5 linked regions of the Rattus norvegicus genome follow. The protein of the gene in region 1 purifies or fractionates together with the protein of each later gene. This does not show direct contact. Links are inferred from orthologs where the notes say so. Each region holds a gene or a part of one and is shown in the gene's direction. Other genes may lie near its edges. The genes, in order: Gsk3b, Gskip, Akap11, Axin2 and Epb41l3.

The links.
Region 2: the proteins of Gsk3b (region 1) and Gskip purify together in Homo sapiens (affinity purification with mass spectrometry; 10 studies listed by BioGRID and IntAct, with this or other methods). This does not show direct contact. The link is inferred for Rattus norvegicus from reciprocal best matches to the Homo sapiens genes GSK3B and GSKIP.
Region 3: the proteins of Gsk3b (region 1) and Akap11 purify together in Homo sapiens (affinity purification with mass spectrometry; 4 studies listed by BioGRID and IntAct, with this or other methods). This does not show direct contact. The link is inferred for Rattus norvegicus from reciprocal best matches to the Homo sapiens genes GSK3B and AKAP11.
Region 4: the proteins of Gsk3b (region 1) and Axin2 purify together in Homo sapiens (affinity purification with mass spectrometry; 9 studies listed by BioGRID and IntAct, with this or other methods). This does not show direct contact. The link is inferred for Rattus norvegicus from reciprocal best matches to the Homo sapiens genes GSK3B and AXIN2.
Region 5: the proteins of Gsk3b (region 1) and Epb41l3 purify together in Homo sapiens (affinity purification with mass spectrometry; 4 studies listed by BioGRID and IntAct, with this or other methods). This does not show direct contact. The link is inferred for Rattus norvegicus from reciprocal best matches to the Homo sapiens genes GSK3B and EPB41L3.

What each region holds. Positions count from the first base shown.
Region 1 is NC_086029.1:76,055,560-76,059,501, reverse strand, and holds part of Gsk3b (glycogen synthase kinase-3 beta), read left to right. Parts: intron 1-3,106; coding exon 3,107-3,213; intron 3,214-3,942. UniProt on the Homo sapiens protein: Constitutively active protein kinase that acts as a negative regulator in the hormonal control of glucose homeostasis, Wnt signaling and regulation of transcription factors and microtubules, by phosphorylating and inactivating glycogen synthase (GYS1 or GYS2), EIF2B, CTNNB1/beta-catenin, APC, AXIN1, DPYSL2/CRMP2, JUN, NFATC1/NFATC, MAPT/TAU and MACF1.
Region 2 is NC_086024.1:130,367,050-130,370,731, forward strand, and holds part of Gskip (GSK3B-interacting protein), read left to right. Parts: intron 1-3,138; coding exon 3,139-3,397; intron 3,398-3,682. UniProt on the Homo sapiens protein: A-kinase anchoring protein for GSK3B and PKA that regulates or facilitates their kinase activity towards their targets.
Region 3 is NC_086033.1:60,362,320-60,366,965, reverse strand, and holds the start of Akap11 (A-kinase anchor protein 11), read left to right. Parts: upstream 1-1,630; 5' UTR 1,631-1,777; intron 1,778-4,646. UniProt on the Homo sapiens protein: Binds to type II regulatory subunits of protein kinase A and anchors/targets them.
Region 4 is NC_086028.1:94,397,106-94,401,697, forward strand, and holds the start of Axin2 (axin-2), read left to right. Parts: upstream 1-1,679; 5' UTR 1,680-1,762; coding exon 1,763-2,577; intron 2,578-4,592. UniProt on the Homo sapiens protein: Inhibitor of the Wnt signaling pathway. Down-regulates beta-catenin. Probably facilitate the phosphorylation of beta-catenin and APC by GSK3B.
Region 5 is NC_086027.1:116,701,711-116,705,652, forward strand, and holds part of Epb41l3 (band 4.1-like protein 3), read left to right. Parts: coding exon 1-103; intron 104-1,385; coding exon 1,386-1,517; intron 1,518-2,214; coding exon 2,215-2,313; intron 2,314-2,808; coding exon 2,809-2,889; intron 2,890-3,166; coding exon 3,167-3,277; 3' UTR 3,278-3,283; intron 3,284-3,942. UniProt on the Homo sapiens protein: Tumor suppressor that inhibits cell proliferation and promotes apoptosis. Modulates the activity of protein arginine N-methyltransferases, including PRMT3 and PRMT5.

The sequences.
Region 1 (3,942 bases):
CCGTGGCGGCACTTGCTGATAATTCCAGTCACTCAGTAGATGTGGGAGGTCATTAGTTTGAGGCTGGCCTAAGCCAGGTAGTGAGACCCTGTGCGAAAGGAAAGCCTCTGTCAAGTCAGTACTGTATGCATGGTAGCTTTTGTTTTAAAAACCCTTTTGTGACTAGTGTGCAAACACACATAACAAACATGGCTTATTCTGAGTTGATATGTAATACCTCATACACGATTGTCTGGGACGGGATGTTTGAGGATTATCGTGTACTTGGGAAACTTACATTCCCAATGACTGCTCTTTAGTATAAACTCCTTGAGCTTATGGAATACATATATCTGCTCCATCTTTATTACTAATAAATCTCTTAAGTTATACATTTGCATATATTCCTTTAACTTCACACTCAACCTCAATACAGGAGTGCAGTAAAATACAGAGAGGCAATATTTTTCTCTATTAATATTTACTATTAATATTTCCTCTATTATTTCCCCATTTTTGCAGATTCTAACAAGTATGATTTTTTTTTAAACCGCCGATTTCTTGGTTATATACTGTTGCTAGTGTAAACTCCTCATGCTTTCTCTTTGTGTAGCATTTAGCTATAAAGCCTCCCAACATGCAGCCAAGCCTATACCCCACAGGACAGATCACCATATCCCTTCTTCATTCTCTATCTGTCGCCTCCGGGGGTAGCCCTACTCTCTGTGCTGAGACTTCTGTCCTTATAACTTGGGTGCTTTTTCATCCTTGTTAGAAGTTCTTCTTTTTCAGTTTAGCACCACAGATGATACATTGACTCCTGCTGTCTATAGTCCCTCCTCTTTATATAGACGTCTATACCAAACCGTAGATTAGATTGTGGGTTTAACATCAGTGCAGGTGAAGGGAGGTATTTGGAAAAACCGAGCCAACCTGCTGTCAGTAGGTTCATGCTTAGTCTTGTTCTGCAGTTTCTTTCAAGCCATTCCACTTAACAAACCCTATCCCAGGGTCTCAGCACTGCAGGCTGCGGCTCAGGTGAAAATACACACTAAGGCGTTTTTTTATTTGATGGTTGAATGGTGGGCTGCTGCTTGTTTCACCTATGAAAAGGCACCCAAATCACATGGGGTTTGTTACTGGGGAGAGTAACTGCCGAGTCCTGCAAGAGCCACCTAGTGCAAGTTCCTCTGCTCACCACCATGTCAGAGCATTGTTCGCGCCCGCGCCCAGCGGATTCTACGGGTGTAAAGTAGCTGTGCCTGGATACATTTGAAAGAGGGCTTTCACAGGTGTGAAATAGCTCATTCTTTAGCAACTCTGAGGTAGGATTTTGGAGACACTTAAGGTGAAAACTTAACAAAACTGCCTTCTTAATAATTTTTAATTAGGTGTAACAGGTCTGGCAGTAGCTGAAATGGGGTGTGAAAAAAACCCATTTTATAGAGTCTAACTGGGGTGTCTAAGGGCCATTAGGTAAAGGGAAAAGTTAGTTTCGTTGGTGATGAGGGAAAAGGATACAGGCTGTCAAAGCTCTCAGTTGGATGACTGAGTTGTTGTGCGTTTCTCTTCTAAGCATCTGCTTTACCCATTAAAAATGTGCCTCGTGGGGCTGGGGATTTGGCTCAGTGGTAGAGCGCTTACCTAGGAAGCGCAAGGCCCTGGGTTCGGTCCCCAGCTCCGAAAAAAAGAACCAAAAAAAAAAAAAATGTGCCTCGTGTGTTTGGTTTCTGAGACAGGGTCTCTGTGGCCCTGGCTGTCGCAGCAGCAGCTGCCTCTGCCTCTGTAGAGCGCTGAGACTGAAGGTGTGGGCCACTGTGTCCTGCTTGCTGGTCATTCGTTCGGGAGCTGGATTTAAACTCCGCATCCTAGAGCTGCTTTTTCAAGGGGCCATTCCAAGTCCCCAAGGCGCACTTCTGAAGATAGAAACGTCTGTTATCGAGGGCACTAACACTGAATATCTTGACTTTTTTGACAGTCTGAAAACCTTAGTGTTGTTAACATAGCGAACACTGTTTTATCTGGGCCTAAGAAAAAGATTAAAATTTGAAACAGATAATGAAGGAAAGAACAAATCAAGTTTAGAGCCATCATTGAGTAGAAGTAAACTGAAAGGGAGGAAACCTAGACCCCCAAGACTGAATGACCATTTTCACATGTCTGTGTCCTGCACTGTTACCTCAGATTTTCCACCTGTTTTTGGCATTTATTTATTTTTTTCTATTTGTTCATTCATTTGATTTTATCGCATGTATTTCTTTTCTGTATCTCATGCTACTGTCAGAACAGCTCCTAGAGCAGCCTGCTTATATGAGATGGAGTTACCCAGAGAGACATTTCAAGAGACACTGTGACTCACTTTAACATTTAAAATATGTACTGTAAACTACTTTAGGAGGAAAGTTGTAATAATATGTTCAACGTAGCACTGCAGCGATGGAGCAGATCGGGCCTGAGTCACTTAAATCAAATGCCTTTTACAGTTTGTTTAGCAGTAGGTGTTTAAATCGACTGCGGTGTGGAAGCATGGATTGGCTGTGTAAGGCCGAGCTGGTCATCCCGGGTCTGAAGACCAAGTTTAACAGAGTAGCCAGGTCCCCCCCACACTCCCCCTTTTAAAAGCATATAGGTGGGGAATACTGATACATTCACTTCTATGATTTGCTAACAGTCTTTTGTTGCAGAAGGTTGCTCTTTAATTTCCTGCCCTTCATCTTTATATTTTATTTAGTTACTTATTATTTTGAGGCAGTGTCTCACTGTATACCATTGGCTGACCTGGAACTCTCACTACAGAGTGGCCTCCATCTCGCAGAGGTCCGCCTGTCTCTGCCTCCCGAGTGCTGGGAGGGAAGGTCGCACCACCTTGCCCGTCAGCCATTTTATATTTCACAAGTTGAATGTAGGAAATGGGGAAACCAGAAGAAATTGAACATGTGTGTCCTTTTGTAATTTTTTAAATCTCTTTGTTCCTTAGCTAAGGCTTGACAAATGCTCACTTTAAAAATTCCTCTTTAAAGTATCAATTTGCTGAACTTGTGTATTTCTCTTGTTGGAAACATTTCAAGTGTGTTGCTTACAAGGTTTAGACGATTAAAGATTGTTTTTTATTTTTATTTTTCATCAGTGCAAAGCAGCTGGTCCGAGGAGAGCCCAATGTTTCATATATCTGTTCTCGGTACTACAGGGCACCAGAGCTGATCTTTGGAGCCACCGATTACACGTCTAGTATAGGTAAGTGCTGGCTCTGGGTGCGGTGGGTGTGACTGTTAACTGTCCTGACCCTTCTCCAACAAGGCAGGGCACGACAGAGCAGGGCTGCAGCAGTACACTTTTGCAGAAATGAGTAGAATTAATTTTTTTTACATTTTAGAATTTATGCTTTTCTACTATTAGAATTATAAAAATATTATTTTGTATTGTAGTTGCTTAATGCATTTGTTTGGCTCTTAAGTTTCAAACAAATGTTGATAAGCTTTTAAAAACATTACTGAGGCAGAGATGGATGGCAAAAAGACGTGTGTGGAGCTCAGTCCCAGCCGCGCTGGAGAAACTCAGCTGCTGAGTTAACTAATGGGGTCTGCACTGGTTTTCTAGTTCTGAAATGTTTACTTCTGAGCCTAAACTACTTAGAAATGTGTTAATAAATAATGTTACTTTTAAAATGTTAATATTGTAATCGGTAGGGCAATGATATTCCTGAATCCCTACAATGATGCATCGCTTAATTTTTGAGCAACTTAATTCATTAGCTTTTCAGCTAAGCCCACTGGTTGTTCAGATCTCGCTGGAGATGTCTATTGATAGAAGGGTTAGAGATGGTTGAGGTCTGCATTGACCCTATCTTCTTAACCTGTTCTAGTGCCATTGCTATGTTAGCAGACAAAAACCTGTTTATTTCATGTATTTATCAGGGCAGTGGCGGGGGGGGGGGGGAGGAGGGGGAGGGTGACGTCAGGTGTC
Region 2 (3,682 bases), on another chromosome or scaffold:
CATGTTCATCCCCTTGCCCAGTTACCATCTTTTCTCCCTCCCTCTGGACAGTGGGCTGCAAGGGGTGTCAGAGCTTTGGAGAACCCTTAAAAGTAGGCTTTAAAAAACTAAAGCCGGGGCTGCAGAGATGGCTCAGTGGTTAAGAGCACTGACTGCTCTTCCAGAGGTCCTGAGTTAAATTCCCAGCAACCACATGGTGGCTCACAACCATCTGTAATGAGATCTGATGCCCTCTTCTGGTGTGTCTGAGGACAGTGACAGTGTACTTACATATAATAAATAAATAAATCTTAAAAACAAAAAAACTAAAGCCTACAGGGGACTTTACTGGCTCCAGTAACTGAAAGAAAGGACCGAGGTGGGAAACTGGCTGAGCAACCTGCTGGCCTCTCAGGTTTTTGCTGCTCTCTTTCCCCCCATCAGCATTGCCCTTTGCCTCCTGTCCTAATCTCAAGATGGTTGCCAGAGTGTGCCTGACTGGACTAAAAAGACTATGAAGAAGTCCACTGTAACTAAGAACCAGAGTCAGTCTTCACCATATCACCTGCTGAGCCCACTCGGTAGAAAAAGAGGCGTTCCAGTTCCCCTTAGGACTCAGGGTGTAACGAGGCAAGGGAAAGGTGGTCCCGGGCAGGAGAGCAGTGCTCAAGAGCATTTCCCTACCCTCGCAGCACCCAGCACCCTCACGGTGATGTGACCTCCTGTAACTCAAGCCCCAGGGGGACCAACGCCTTCTTCTGGCCCCCTTAGGCCTCTGCGCACTGTACACATCCACAAACACACACACACACACACACACACACACACACACACCCCTACACATAACTAAAATAAGTCATTTGCAAAAGTTTTAAATCTTTCACATCATTCTCAAAGGGGTGCATGAAGTCCCCTAGGTGTCCTCTTTTTGGAACTCAGGGCTGATTGTTACCAAGTAACCATCTGGTGACATACTCCAACAGCCTGTAAAGCCATCTTTCTGCCATCTCTCTGCTAGACTCCTGCTAAGAGAATTTTAGGAACATCTTTTTCATGTAATGGTTAAATGTCTGTACTTAATTATCATATAAAGTCATGACATGCATGGTGCTTGGAAGCTAAACCTTCTAAACTGACTTTTTTTTTTTTTTTTTAAATCAAGCCAAGGCCAAGTCAGTGAAAGTACTTATTCCTAGCCACTGGACTAATGGACCAAACTGAGTCTATAAACTATATTAAATGGTCACATCTATAAAACCAAACATTACTTTAAGCAGTGTATTAGTTGAGTAAGGGAAACATGTTTAAAGAAGTACAGAAACCCATTTCAAACAGACTGGGTCCTTTTCCACTTCTGTGTGAACTTGACAGCTAAAAACATTCTGTAAGCCTCCAAAAAGGTATTAAATCAAGGATATACTTCTTAAGACAATGAGCTTTTGTCCTATGCCTCATGTTCTTACATGGGTTCGGTCCCCAGCTGCGGGGGGGGGGGGGGGGGGTGCCTCTCCCAAGGAGTCAGCCTAGAGTCACTCAGCAAGGCACATCCGGTGACACAGAGGGAGTGACCTCTGACTTTGCAGTTCTAGTTCTGAATATCGAATTAGGGGAACAGTTACCCATTTAAAACCATGTGCTCACTGGGTATGGTAGGGTGTGCTCCAAATCTCAGCACTCAGGAGTGGAGGAGGCCAGCCTGGTCTACAGAGCAAGTTTCAGGTCAGCCCGGGCTATGCAGAGAAGCCCTGTCTTAAGAAGAAAACAAACGGGTTGGGGATTTAGCTCAGTGGTAGAGCGCTTGCCTAGCAAGCGCAAGGTCCTGGGTTCGGTCCCCAGCTCCAAAGAAAAGAAAAAAAAAAAAGAAGAAGAAGAAGAAAACAAATAAAGATATACACTCCTACACTCATTTTCTGAGACACTGTTGTGACAAAGCTAAAAATGGCATTTGAGCTTTAGGAAAAATGAAGAAAAGGGTTTTTTTTTTCTCCAAAAACTCACAAATGTCTGTAATTTTTACTGTGAAAACTACTGAAAATTTTCCCTGAAATGGGGTGTGTGTGTGTGTGTGTGATGTGCCATTGTGTTAGGTCTCTCTGGGTCTCGTGGCTGAGCACCAGCAAACTCTAGCCCTCACTGGCAGCACTGGCTCGCAGATGTACCTGCGGCCATGCCAGGCTGGTTACTCAAGTGCTGGTGTTAAACTCAGGTCCTCAGTGACCGCCCACTGAGCTGCCTCTCAGCCTGTTTATGTTTTATACTGAGTATCGTTGTAAGGCTTAGGGTGGTAGCTTAAATGAAAACTACTCCATAGGCTTGCAGGGAGCGGCACCATTGGGAGGTGTGTGGCCTTGGAGTGGGTGTGGCATTGTCAGTGGAAGTGGGGGCAGGTGGTGGCCTTTGAGATCTCAGACGCTCAAACCAGCTTTCGTGTGTCTCAGTCTCTTCCTGCTGCCTGTGGACCAAGATATAGAACGCTCGGCTGCTTCTCTAGCACCATGTCTGCCTAGATGCTGCTGTGCTCCCCACCATGATGACGATGGATAAACCTCTGAACCCCCAATTAAATGTTTTCCTTCATTAGAGTTGCTGTGGTAGCCAGGCTTGGTAACACGTGGCCTGTAATCCCTGCACTGGGGAGGCAGAAGTGAACTGATCTCTGAGTTTAAGGCCTTCATGGTCTGAGAGTGAGTTCCAGGACAGCCAGTGATATGTCCAGAAACCCTGCCTCAAAATACAAACAACAGCAAAAGAGCTGCTTTGGTCACGGTGTCCCTTCACAGCATTAGAACCCTAAGGCAGAAATTGGTATGGGGCTGGGGCATTGCTGTGATTGCCTGACCATGCTTCTCTTTGGAGGACTGTGGAGTTTGGAGCCTTGGATTAGAAAAGCAGAGGAGGGGTTGGGGATTTAGCTCAGTGGTAGAGCACTTGCCTAGCAAGCGCAAGGCCCTGGGTTCAGTCTCCAGCTCTGAAAAAAAAGAATAAAAAAAAAAAAGCAGAGGAATGCTTTAAGTGGGGCGCAAGGGGCCACACTAGTAGGAGCATGGAAAACAGTACTGAGGGTGACTGCTCCTCATACTTTGGTGAAGCATGTTGCTGCCTTCTGCCCTTGTCCAGTTTGAATGGCTTTCCATTGAGTCTGTCACTACTTTCTTGCAGAATGGAAACAGACTGTAATCCCGTGGATCTAAGCAGTATGTCTGGATTCGAAGAAGGCTCCGAGCTCAACGGGTTTGAAGGAACAGATATGAAGGACATGCAGCTGGAGGCTGAGGCCGTTGTCAATGACGTTCTCTTTGCTGTCAACAACATGTTTGTCTCAAAAAGCCTGCCCTGTGCAGACGATGTGGCTTACATCAATGTGGAGACAAAGGAAAGAAACAGATACTGCCTGGAGCTCACAGAAGCAGGGCTCAGGGTAACTCACTTTTATTTTAGAAGGAAAAAGCCTATCTTTGTCATTTTATCAGAAAGGATAAAGGGGAACATTATGTAAAAAAAACAGATATAGGTATCTTTAAAAAAAAATTAAGAAGTATTTTCCCCAAAATTTTGGCTAATAAATTTTTGATCAGCACAGAACAGTTGAATTTTGAGGGAGTAGTACATTTCGAAAGTATTGATTCAGTTTGCTTTAATCGTTACCACCCAGACTAGCTGTGTCTCCCAGAATGGGCTCTCCGCAGGGGTCACCCTTAGAGTC
Region 3 (4,646 bases), on another chromosome or scaffold:
TTACAGTGTCTCAGTTGGTGTGTGAGGTCCAATTTCACTTGGCTTGCCCAGCCTGCTATCTCGTCTTTCAGAAAAGTTCATTTCCCTCACCTGCTTCCCCTGCCAGGGCAAGCGCGACAAAATGGAATTCAGTCTCAGCCAGCCTGTGTGGAGACCAGAGTGCCTTGTTTTATGTACGAGGAACTTGAGACTCAGGATCATAAAGAGCTTATGACTTGCTTATGTCACTAGTTAGTGGAGTGTTTCATACTGGAAGACTTCCTGATTTCTTTTGTTTTGAATTAAACTTCTTTTTCCAGCCTCCAACCTCTTTTCTAATCTCACTCTACTAAAATCTACAAAGAACATTATTTTATGTTCCATATTTTTTAAAAAGTATTTTTTAAAAAGCTAATTGTTATTATTCCCTCCTATAAAAAAAATAAATCTTTAAAGCTGCTCACTGTACATTCCCAGTTCTTTTCTTGGCTGATACAGCTGTAAGAGATCTAGCCTCCATTATCATCCCAGGTTTATTTCTTGTTGTCGTTCAAATGTGCTTGCTACATTACATCCCAATTTCGGGCATGTGAGTTATCCTACTTTTTGCTAGCGATGCTCTGCCCTCCCATTTTTGTAGGGCTATTATCCAAATCACTGCTTTTATCTTTCCTCCCACAAGGGCACCGCCCCCAAGTAGTGGCCCAATTGTAACCACCATCAGATTGTGATGATTTGCGAGTTAACACCTACAGATCTCTCTTCCCAGCCCCCAATCTCTACATCCTAGTCTATTTGCCTTCATCATGGTTCAATAGACAAACTGGGATGATAACTAAAAAGCTGTAGTAAGGATGACAGCTTTCGGCTGAAGAAAACGAATATATGAATGTACTCTTTCTTGTTCCTCTTCCCTGAAGAGGACAAAAGAAGTAAGGAATATATACTTCAAAACGTCTTTCTCATCTCTCTGCCAACTTGAGGACCGGATGTCCTTGAGGAGACCATGCAACGTGACTGTACTGATCCTTCCGATTTAAACAGGAGTCACATAGCTTGTCATCCAAGGCTAGGGTTCTTGGTGGTCAAAGCCTTATTTCCCAATTTCAATGGTCCATGGGGTAGGGAGGTGCATTCCCCTTGGACTGACTCCAGAGGTTCAGATTGGGCCCGAGGCCTGGTGCTTTCCCCATCCCCCAACCCCCTGGTTTTCCCTGGTGATGTTGGGAACCGGGCAGAGTCATTCTGAGGGATGGGCCGTGCGTGGACCCTTGATCTAGTGGGCTGCCGCTGTGGGAAACCAGCCCCAGGAAGGTGGGGCGGACCAAGGCAGATAGTCTAAGGAGGCGGACGTCAGCTCCCTAGGCTCCATTGCTTGCTAGAGGAAAGGGTTAAGCGGTTCCCAAGGCAACGCACCAGGAAGCGCGCAAGACGTCAGCGGAGAGTTCGTAGGTCAGCTTCGGGTTTAAAGCTCCCACGGGCCGAGGGCCACCCGGCCAATGGAGAGGGTGCCTCCACGTCACGTGACGGGCGACCCGCAGCTTTGCCCTCCAGAGCACGTGGGAAGATTTTTTCCCCCCTCCTTGTTCCTTTTGCGCGGGCTCGGCCACGGGGTTGTTCTCGCGAGAGGTGCGACTGCTCTCGCGAGAGTGAGTGGGCGGCGTGGGGAGGCGGCGGCGGTGGCGTCGCGGGCTGGGGCGGGCGAGGGATCGCCGCTGCGCCGCGGCTCGCGCCACCGGGCGTTGCGGGCCGTGACGGGAGGGTGACATGCCCGGGAACTGAGAGGCTGCGCCGCCGGGTGAGCGGGGCGGGGAGCGGGGAGCCAGCAGGCCTGGTCCAGACTGCGGCGGGGCGCCGTGGCCTCGCTGCGTGGGGCGCAGGCGGGAGGACAGTGCACTTTGTCCTCCGCAGCAGCATCCTTCCCTGTCAGCGTCCGAGCCCAGGTCCGCGACGTTGCCCTAACCTCAGATACCGCTGTTTGCATCGCTGTCACGTCGCCCCCAGGCTGGCCAAGCATCCGAACTGCGCTACCAAATAGAAAATGGGCTGGCCAAACCACAGTGACAGTACAATCTAAACCCCTCGTATGGCTTGGTGACAGCCCTTTACCTCTGCTCTTTAAAAAGAAAAAAAAAAAAAACCCTATTAGTTGGAGGTGGCTTAGCTTTAGGCATTAAGGCATTTCACGGTGAGCAATACTGCTGAGACACATCGCTAATGGCCTTGGCGCATACTGGAGTTAATATTCGCAGTTCTTCTTAGCTTTGTAATTATTCATTTGCTTCTAAAACGCCTGTTTTCCGTTGCATCTTCTCACCTTGTTAGCAGTGTTATTTATGTTGATACTCAATTTTGTTATGTATGAAAATATCTAAAAATAAGAGTGTCAGGAAAGGTGGAGTATTTATTTATGCAAAGATGATTTTGTTTTAATATCTTCGCGTTTGGGTGTGTGTGTGTGTGTGTGTGTGTGTGTGTGTGTTGGTAGAAGGCAGCTCAGTGCCTGGTATGATTGATGTCATTTTAAATAGTGTCACCTAATCTTTCAAACTGTAGGAGCATTTTTCAAGGAATATCCTGGTTATTCATACTTAATTGTGTTTTCCAGGCAGAACTGTGAATCATGGGTTGGCAGTAAATTAAACAATTAGTTGTGTTGTTAGTAGCTGACTTAGGAGGGATAAAGGGATATGAGGGAACTGGGGGAAGAAGTGGGTTTATAAGCTGTGCTGTGGCTAATGTAGATAGATAGCTACGAAACTGCTCAACTGATCTGCCTGGAAAGGAATTGGCAGTAAATACTCTGTGGCCAGTGATTTTTCCCAGTCGTTGAAGATACTGAAGTTAGAACCCCATAATTATAGTGAGAGTTTTGCTAGCCTTCTCTCTAACCTCTGAATTCCAGGGCTGCGACTAGGAAACAGAAGAAAATCCTCTGGGAGAAAGGATGGTACATTTTATTTTAATTCCAAAGATTTAGTGTCTGGGAAAGGAACTCAGCCAATTCAAAGCATAATGCAGCAGGTTGTCTAAAGGGAAAATTCCAGTTATAAATAGGGGAATTCTAACCACACACGAAGATATGAAAAACTTAGGTGAATGGGCAAAGGAGATTACAAAAGTTCCCTTCCATTCCTCTAACTTGTGGCAAGGGTTTCAGACTTTTAGGGCAGTGGTTGCTCTGTCTTGTGTTTGGAAAGCAATTAAATTAACTTTGGATGGAGTAATTACTTACGTAATTTTTTTCTTTTTCTCCTTTTCTTTTTGTGAAGTGGCCCTGGTAGTAAAAAGAATTAACCAGTAAAAGAACGAGTGTTGGGAGGTTAGAAGATCTGCATTTGCTTGAGTGGCAGTAGAAGGCAGACACACTGGCATTCTGGCCCAGGAAAAAATGTGCCTTACTGTTTTAAAAGCAAACGGGGCAGATCCATTTCTTTTCTTCTCTTTTTTCTTTTCTGTTCTTCCTTTGAGAAAGAAATTAATTGAAAATGACCTCCTGAAGATAAGCACTCAGAATGTATGGATTATTGACTGGACTTGACAGGAGGAGGAAGCTTAGTGATTTTGTGTTAGCCTCTGACTAGGTGTTTTTCCTTTGACCTTCCTTAATGGTTTGAGGATTATTTGGCTGCCAGAATCAAAAGGCCATTAGAATTAGCTTACTTGAAAAAGGCATTTGTCATAATTTTGTAACACTGATGCCAAGGTCCAGTTTGCAATTTTAGCTCAGTGGCTGGGAAACTGGACCATCTTGAGGTTGGAGCACATAGAGTTTTCTTTTAGTTCCCTTCTACTAGCTGCATGCCCTCCTCAGTTGTTAAATAATCACCTTCTCCTGAAACCTCTTGGTTTTTGTTCTTTGGTTTGCCAGAGTGTTCACATCAGACCCACCTTGACTTGGCATCATAGTTCCTACTGACCTCTTTAACTCTCAATTCAAAATGTCTGTACATGGAGAGAAAGCAGTGGTCAGCTTTCCAGGTCTTGTCAAGTTGGTTTAGCATAGAGTAGGAAGATGTAGAGTAGGAAGTTGACAACGGGAGGTGGATGGTGGGGAACTACACATGTGGCTTCTCAGACTGCTTCAGCAAGGTCTTTAAGATGTGGGACATCTGTAGTTGGGAGGAAATGATGGATACCTCTGGTGTACTGTAGTGTCTTAGGGTTTGAGTTCTTCCCCCAAGTCCTGCATTGCACTTGGTCTCAGCTACCTAGAGTTGTAACCAGATTCAGTGATCCCTTTCCAGGACAGGTTCTCTTGGGTTTGTTAGGTGACAGACTGCTTAAAATAATTTATATAATGGGCATAATGATGCCATGAGAATTGTAGATTCACATGTGTGACACAGTTTCTTTCTAGCTGGCAAATTGCAGTTATGGTGCAGAAGTATGATGTGTCCTGTTTGTTGCTGACTCTGTACTGGGCTTCTGCAGTGTTCAGAGAAGAAATTGTCATTTTTCTTTTCAGTCTAGTGCTGACTACACATACTTAGAACTTGTTTAAAAACTCCTACCACCTGTGCTTTAGATTGACACATAATTGTGGTTCCCCACTGCTTTTTTTTTTTTCTTCTTCTTTTTACCTGCCTTGAACCATTGATAGTAATTATTCCTTTAGATTTTTGGATAATCTTATATTCTCTTCTACTGTCTTGGGTCAGCTTTAA
Region 4 (4,592 bases), on another chromosome or scaffold:
CGTGTGCACGCGAGTGCTTTTGGAAGGTGGGATAAAAGGGTGGCGGCGCCCCCCGCTTGCCCTCCCCGCCCCTCCCCCGCCCCCTCCTACTCCTCTCCCCACTAGTCTCCCCCTCCCATCCGCGGGTCCGTGCCTAGGTGCCTGGAGCTCTGGCAGAGGCTCAGTCTGAGGGTAGAACCGGCCGGAGCCCAGGGCGCTCGCGTCCCCTCGCCGCCCCTTTTGCGGAGAGGCTGAGACTCCGCGCGTCGCCATTTCTAGACTAGGCGGTTGCTTTCCGTGCCTTTTTCTGCGGGAACCTCTGCGAGGCTTGACACCAGGGAGTTACCCCGATCCGGGTTCCGGGGTCTCTGGCCTCGCTCCTGGTGGACGGCGTACCGGGACTCTGGAGGCGTTTGTTTGTAGTTGGGCCGGGGAGGGACGGGACAGAAGGGGCTCAGAGGAGATGAGAGCCTGGCGGCCTTCATCTTCCAGGTAACGGCGTCTCGCCACCTTCTCTGCGCCCGGGTGCTTGGCACTACCCTGCCCCACCACTTCGGGTTTGTGCCCAGCCTGGCGGCCTGAGCTCCGGGACTGGGGAGGGGTGCATCCACCCAGACCCGGGGTCTCGGGCAGCTGGCCCGGAGAGTTTCTCCCTGTCCCCCGGTCCGCCCCTTCTTAGTTTGATCCTTCCCTGGCTAGGGAGAGCAGCTTGTTTATTGGTTAGATAAGACTTCTTTTCTTTTGGAGAAAGACTGGCTTGGGATCAATGTAGTTTGGGATTCTTGGCACAGGCGGTAGTAGCGTGAGAAGCCTTCTGATCCGGTTTTGTTGGGTTCGTGGCTCTAGGAGGTGGATTGGGGAGCCGGGGGCGGCGGGTCTCGAGGTTTCTCTTCTCTCTTTAAAAGTTTGAAGATCAAAGCCTCTTACTTAGTGAACTGTTTTCTGCTTTGGGGAAGCGAAGAAGACACGAAGTGTAGACTGAGCCACGTTTTTGGAGAGTCTTGAGTATAGGCAACATCGTCTGGGATCCGGGGTAATGGGGGGGGTGCATGCGGAATCCGCGAGTTGCTGACCCCCTTCCCGCGGATGCTGGGCGGGCTTTTTTTCAGGCGGGGATCTTCTGTAAGAAGTGGGACGAGGGAGCGCAGAGGGAGGGGTGGGTGGGGGGAATGGGAACCAGATGCCGGGGAAGGGCACTTTGAGAACTCGAGTTATCTGTGCAGAGCAGTGTGGGGAAGTTTACCGAAATTGGTTTCACCTGCACGCAGCCGGGCGGCTGGCTTGCGTGCTCTGGTTGTCGTGGGAGGGGGTCCGGCTAGGTTGCCCCAAGTGTCCCTGGGCCTCGTGAATGTGGGGAAGATTGTGTCTTACACCTCCTGTGTCACTGTTTCAGCCTCACCTTCCCCCCTCCCGCCCCCCAGCACCCCCCCCCCCCGCGGAAAAAGTGTGTGGGGAGCTCAGATTTCGCCTTTGAAAAAGCTGTGTCGGATACTTGAGATGAGCACCTCGCGGATAGCTGGGTTGCTTGATTTGAATTTGAGGAGTTGAAAAGCCTGTTTACTTTCTTGCTTTGATGTTGGGTAGATCTGGTTTTGATTAGATCAATACCCTTTTCTCTCTCCCACCTCCCCCCTCCTTTTCTTTCCAGAGAGGAGGCTCACATGAGCCCCTGCTGACTTAAGAGAGACCAAGCCGATTGCTGAGAGGAACTGGAAGAAGAAAAAGGAGGAGGAAAAAAAAAAGCAAAACAAAACCCAAACTCAGTGAGACGCTCTCCCTCACCATGAGTAGCGCTGTGTTAGTGACTCTCCTTCCAGATCCAAGCAGCAGCTTCCGCGAGGATGCTCCGCGGCCCCCGGTTCCCGGAGAAGAAGGGGAGACCCCACCGTGTCAGCCTAGCGTGGGCAAGGTCCAGTCCACCAAACCTATGCCTGTCTCCTCTAACGCTAGGCGGAATGAAGATGGGCTGGGGGAGCCCGAGGGGCGGGCCTCCCCAGATTCCCCTCTGACCAGGTGGACCAAGTCTTTGCACTCCTTGTTGGGGGACCAAGATGGTGCATACCTCTTCCGGACTTTCCTGGAGAGGGAGAAATGTGTGGATACCCTGGACTTCTGGTTTGCCTGCAATGGGTTCAGGCAGATGAACTTGAAGGATACCAAAACTTTGCGAGTGGCCAAAGCAATCTACAAGAGGTACATTGAGAACAACAGTGTTGTCTCCAAACAGCTGAAACCCGCCACCAAGACCTACATAAGAGATGGCATCAAGAAGCAGCAGATCGGCTCGGTCATGTTTGACCAGGCGCAGACGGAGATTCAGGCGGTGATGGAGGAAAATGCCTATCAGGTGTTCTTGACTTCTGACATATACCTCGAATATGTGAGGAGTGGGGGAGAAAACACAGCTTACATGAGCAATGGGGGACTGGGGAGCCTAAAGGTCTTATGTGGCTACCTCCCCACCCTGAATGAGGAAGAGGAGTGGACATGTGCCGACCTGAAGTGCAAACTTTCACCCACCGTGGTTGGCCTATCCAGCAAAACTCTCCGGGCCACAGCGAGCGTGAGATCCACAGAAACGGCTGAAAACGGATTCAGGTGAGGCTCTGACTGGGCTGGGTTGGGGGTGGGGTATCCCCCCCCCCCAGTGGGGACAGGGCTTGGAGGATGTCTTCTGTCGGGGCGGGTAGGTGGATGGCTAGGCTGGGGAAGCAGATAAAGGTTGATTGAGAGCCAGGACTTCTGGCTGGGGACCCTTTGATCTTATGTTTTGTTGTTGTTGTTGGTGGTGGTGGGGTGTGTGTGTGTGTGTGTGTGTGTGTGTGTGTGTAGGGGGCGTTGCAATGTACTCACAGCTGAGTACCTGCAGCCTTCCACTGCTAACTTCAAACAGTGGCAAGCAGCATTAATGTGGTGACTTATTATCCCAAGCTGTTGGGAGGGAGAGAGAGGGAAAAGAGGGAATGTGAATGCTGCAGCTTTTGATGCCTCTGAGTCACTAGACCCACTAAGTGCCAGTTTGGGAAAGGGTCATTTTCACCGATACTCATCAAAGTAGAATTACTCTGGCTTGGGGGGAGGGGCCGCTGGGCTGTGGCAGAGGAGGGGTGCGCGGGGGTGGGGGGACACAAGGACAGCCGTGCACCTTGGAGGGATGAGTGGTATCCATCTCACTTCATGTTCAGAGCCAGCGGGCAGATTAGCAAGCGAGTTTGTGGTCCCCTTTGTAGAATTAGGTATTTCCCAGGGAGGAAGACTTCTGACTAACTTGGGGGGGAAGGCCCCTCGACTTCCTCCCACGAAGGAGACTTCACTTTGGCGTCTGCTGGCTATTAATCCAGCTTTCAAATGCTGTTGAGCTCCAGGGTCAGACCTCAGTTGCTCAGTGCTGATAGAGAAGTGTGGGTGCGGGGAGAGGACTGCCCCCCCCCCCACTTTCTCTCTTTAAAGCTTCTAAGACAAACTGCCCATTATAGATTTAGCCAAGTCTCAAGGTTCTTGGCCTTTGCAAGCAACTTCAGACCTGTTAGAATGCGTTTCTCCGTTCTCCTTCCTCTCCAGAGATTCCCCCAAAGAGGAGTGCACCTATTATTAATTTTAGTCTGTTGCTTGTGACATGTGGGGCGGGAGGTGGGGGTGACACCAGATTGCTATCTGCATGGCTCTATTCTTCTTGTCCCTGTGCATTTCTCTGTCTCGGGGACCCAGGATATGTGTTCTGCACACAGGTTCTGGAGATCTCACCGGCTTCATGGGGCGTGGTCTCCCATGCCCCGAAGCATCCGGAGGGGGCAAGCCCCCTTTGCTGCTCTGTGGGCATGCATGGTCTTCAGTTTTGGCTGCTGTGGCAAGTAAGGGAAGGACTTGCTCTCTGGTCACCAGAGGGCGCTCTTGCAACTTTGGAAGCAAACTTAACCAATTTTCAGACATCTGGTCTACACCTAAACGGAACTGGCTTGGGTTTTTGAAGGCAAGCATAGGGTCGCAGGAGGGCGTGGTTAGTGGCACTGAGCTTGCAGAACCAGGCTGTTGGGGCTGGGTACAAACAGGTACCTGCCTCTGTTGTCCTGCTCCGTGGCAAGGACATAAAGTTTGCTATTGGTCTCCTCACCCTCCAGCCTGGCAGCCAGTGACGAAGAGTCCTTAAGGCCCTTGGTAAGGCTGCTTCTCCACAGTGGGTCTTCTGTGGCTTCAGTGTCAGGCTCAGAGTGTCACCTTTGTAAATAGCACAGGGCAGTTTCCGAGGCCAGCAGTAAGAAGGCACTCTCCAAGCCACACTGTGCTTGGACTCCTCCTTGTGGGTGGGCAGCCTAGGCGAAACGTTGAGTTGCCTCTTCCCAGAGGCTTCATTAGGATGTTTGCAGAGTACTGGGTCCCCAAGGAGCAGTGTCCTTTGGGCTGGGAACTGTGAATGTCACTGATGAGTGGATGACAGCTCTTGAGTGACCCCGTTAGTTAGCTTACACAGATCAGGTGTGTGTTCTCCCACTGTTAGGTTGGAAGGAAACGTTTACCTGGACACGCCCAGATGGCCCTTACTTCTTTTTAACACGTGCGAGCTCTCCTTCTAGTCTGGTACTGTGTCAAGTTCCAGGCCTTGTCATAGTAGCATC
Region 5 (3,942 bases), on another chromosome or scaffold:
GTCTGCCCCGGAGCAGGAACAACCAGCCACTGTCTCCCAGGAGGAGGATCAGGTGTCGGCCATCCACTCTTCTGAGGGTTTGGAACAAAAGTCTCATTTTGAGGTAAGTGGTCGTTACTCTCTTCCTGTGATGCCGAGATTCAGATCGGAGTTAACGTGCAGCTAGATTTAACGTTACGCCCCGTCGTGCACGGCCTTTAGTCTTTCTTTCTGTTCTTTTCCTTTGCATCACATGTCAGGGTTTCCACGATTTTGGTTCACAGAAACTAGTAGTGTTGATGTGTAATTCTAGGATGCGATTTCTGTCTTTGAAATTATGACTGTGAAAACACGGGAGACCCATGATTACACATTGAAGATTTGGAGGGCCACGAAGATGGCTCAGTGGCTAGCAGTGCTTGGCACACAAGCCTGAGGACCTCAGTTCAATCCCTGGTCCCTGGGACTTACGGTGGAAGGGGAGAACCATGTTCTGAGAGTTGTCCTCTAAAATACACACACACACACACACACACACACACACACACACACACATACACACATATACATGCATATACACATGCACACATACATACACATATACACATATACATACATATACATACACATATGTACATACACATGTGTACATATGCACACGTATATACAAAAATACATACATGCACAACATACATACATGCACACATATATACATATACACATATGTACACATACACATATATACATACACAAATACCAACACATATACACACAAATACACATACCTATACACACATATGCATACACACATACACATACATATACACATGCACATATACACATATACCCACACATATACACATATATATACACATACACATACATACCCACATACCCACACATATACACACATATACATACACATGTACACATACACACACTAATAATAATAGATTTTAAAAAGAAAACTTGGCATTTATTTCTGATCTATTATTGACTTTACTAGGAATACCAGAAATCTCTCCTCCCACTTACAGAACCTCATCCTTTATCCTTTTACTGAGATTCTCCAAACATCGGTGGGTGGCAACCGATGATGTAATACTTGCCTCATCATCCTTGGTTGCTAATTTAAGAACTCATCTATAAGTTTAACAGCATCAGTGTTCGCATATGCGATTGGGCAGAAGGAAGAGCTTATTCTTTAATTTCCTTTCAAATGTTTCCATTGCCTTGAACAATCTACATTAGCAACACTGTAACTCGGAGAGACTAACGTAGATTTGTTCTGTGCCACGAACCCCACGTCACCCCCTCACTTAGTCCTGAGCACAGTGAACCAAGAGCAAGCAGCTCAGATTGTGCGCCCGCCTCCATAACCTCTCCCCTTGCTTCCCACGATACAGTCGTCCACTGTGAAGGTAGAAAGCATAAGTGTGGGCAGTGTCTCTCCAGGAGGAGTGAAGCTAGAGACCTCTACCAAGGAGGTGCCAGTGGTCCACACAGAGACGAAAACCATCACGTACGAGTCTTCTCAGGTAAGACGGTCTGTGAGAACCTGGCGACTGCATGGCTTTGGGCATTCAAGTTTAACTACATGGCATCAGTCTAAGAGGCTGGAGGATCCTGCAGCCAAGCCTCGTCTTGAAGAACAGTGCAGTGCAACCGTTAGTTTGATCGCTGATTATGGAGGTGTCGGTGCTCAGCCTGGGCCTCAGATAACCTGAGTGTACAGCTATGGATAAGGAAGAGGGCTCACTCAGCCACACTCAGCTCACATTTATTAAGTCTCAGTTTGTTGACCCTCATTGCCTAGAGCTTACTCTTGGCAGCTCTCACCTTTCATCTGAACTGTGCAAGGATGGTGAGAAGCAACTGTTCCTTCCGAAGAAGCGTGTTCCTTCCGTGGGTGCTGCGGTCCCTCACCTAGAGTTACAACATCTGCTTGTAACTTGCGAATGTCCTCGGCACCATTTAAATAATCTCTAGGTGGCTTGGACAGCCTTGCACAACATGAATGCTGAGCGGGCAGTTGTCACGCTCCGCTACTTGGCCAGGGTCTGCACACGTTCGGTCTGCTTGCAGATAGATTTGAGTGTTTTTCTGTCTGTGGTTGATTGAGTCCTAGGTGGGAGGGCTGTGTTCACTCACTGTAGTGCATTAAAGAACAGACCAGTCCTGAGGAGAGGAAATATAACGGTGCCCGTGTGCTCTGTGTGTTCCTGTCTCGCTTAGGTCGATCCTGGGGCAGATCTGGAGCCAGGTGTGCTAATGAGCGCCCAAACGATCACGTCTGAAACCACGAGTACTACCACCACCACACATATCACCAAAGTAAGTGGGGAGACACCCGACAGCGTTCCTGACCACTGGGGAAAGCCATCGCTCCTCAGAGCCTTGGACAGATTAGGCTGCACAGATAGCTCTATTAAAGTGAGCTCTAATCTTCATAGAACCAGGGGAAGGAGGGGATATGGGAGAGGGGGGAAAGGGGATAACATTTGAAAAGTAAATACATAAAACACCCAGTAAAAAAAACGCTTAATACAAAAAAGTAAGCTTAAAAACACATGTATTTACCGTGCATCTCCCACGGTATGCTAATTTCTGTTGAGGGTCCTCAGTGTTCTCTCCAGTGGTGGGCGTAGAGTGGATCTCACAGAAACTGGCCCTACCAAACCCGAAGAACTCAACCCTACCCTCACTTTTGAAAGTAAACACGTTAAACGTCTGTGGTCGACTCCTATTTTAGTTCTATAAGATCGAATGGCAGCTAGGCCTCCCCGTCACCCCAGCGGATAGCTCACAGAGCTCTTCTGCTTCCTTTAGACTGTGAAAGGAGGCATTTCGGAGACGAGGATTGAGAAGCGAATAGTCATCACGGGAGATGCCGACATTGACCATGACCAGGTAGTATGGGCGAGACGGTAAACGCTCTGTCAGAGGGGTAAACGTGACCATGTTGGCCCTTTGGGTTCCCAGTGCTAATCTTCCCAGCCCAGTGCGTATTCGACAATAAGTTTCCGAGTTAACCTTCCAGTAGATGCCTTTGACCCCTCCCTCGACCGTTGTGCCTCGGTGTTAGCTGTGGGGATAGATTTAGCGTGTGTAAGTCTACATCTTGCTACCGCTCATGCATGTCCCACCTCCTTTTTGTTTTTGCCCTCCTGTGATTTCCCGGGGATAGGCGCTGGCTCAGGCAATTAAAGAGGCCAAAGAGCAGCACCCCGACATGTCAGTAACCAAAGTAGTGGTCCATAAAGAGACAGAAATCACACCAGAAGATGGAGAGGATTGACCGCAGGTAAGAGGTGGCACGGATTCTCCAGGCTGGCCTCGGTGGCATGCGGCATGGGGCACTCCCTCCCACCCTTCGCCTGACCTGCCCTCTCCCTCATTCTCTCACTGGCGCCTGTCGGGCCTGGCAAGCAAGAAGGAGGAGAACTGTTTCGTGGGTCCCGGGTTGTAGAGGTTCAGTCTTCAGGGTTGTGTCGGCACCCACTCAAGTGAGGGGGAAAGGGGGCACCCATGCCAGTGAGAGGAAAAGGGAAAGGAGGCTCCTTGCTTGCACAGGCCTTACTGCCGCCACTCTCGCCGTCTGGGCTTCCCCTTGTCCTCGTTACCCAAATTTGAATTGTCAAATTTGACTTCCCCTGCCCTTCTGCCTGGTAAGAACCACGGCGGGTTCTAACGACTAGCTGAATCCATGTTTCAGCTTGGAGCTGTAGAGGGATTAGCCGTGCCCCTTCCTGCTTTTGATACAGCATCGCCCCTTGGAAGCGCCCTCACGCTTCCAAGATAAATGTCTGTGCCTCCGACTGTTTGGTTTGGTTCGGAACTGAGCACTAACTTTTTTTTTTTTTTTTGAATGTCTTATATCTCCTGCATTTCGTGAGTGACTTTCTCTGGGGTACACTGTTTTGTCTGGGGGTTGGGGGAGGGGGCAAACATGCAGACCTGTGG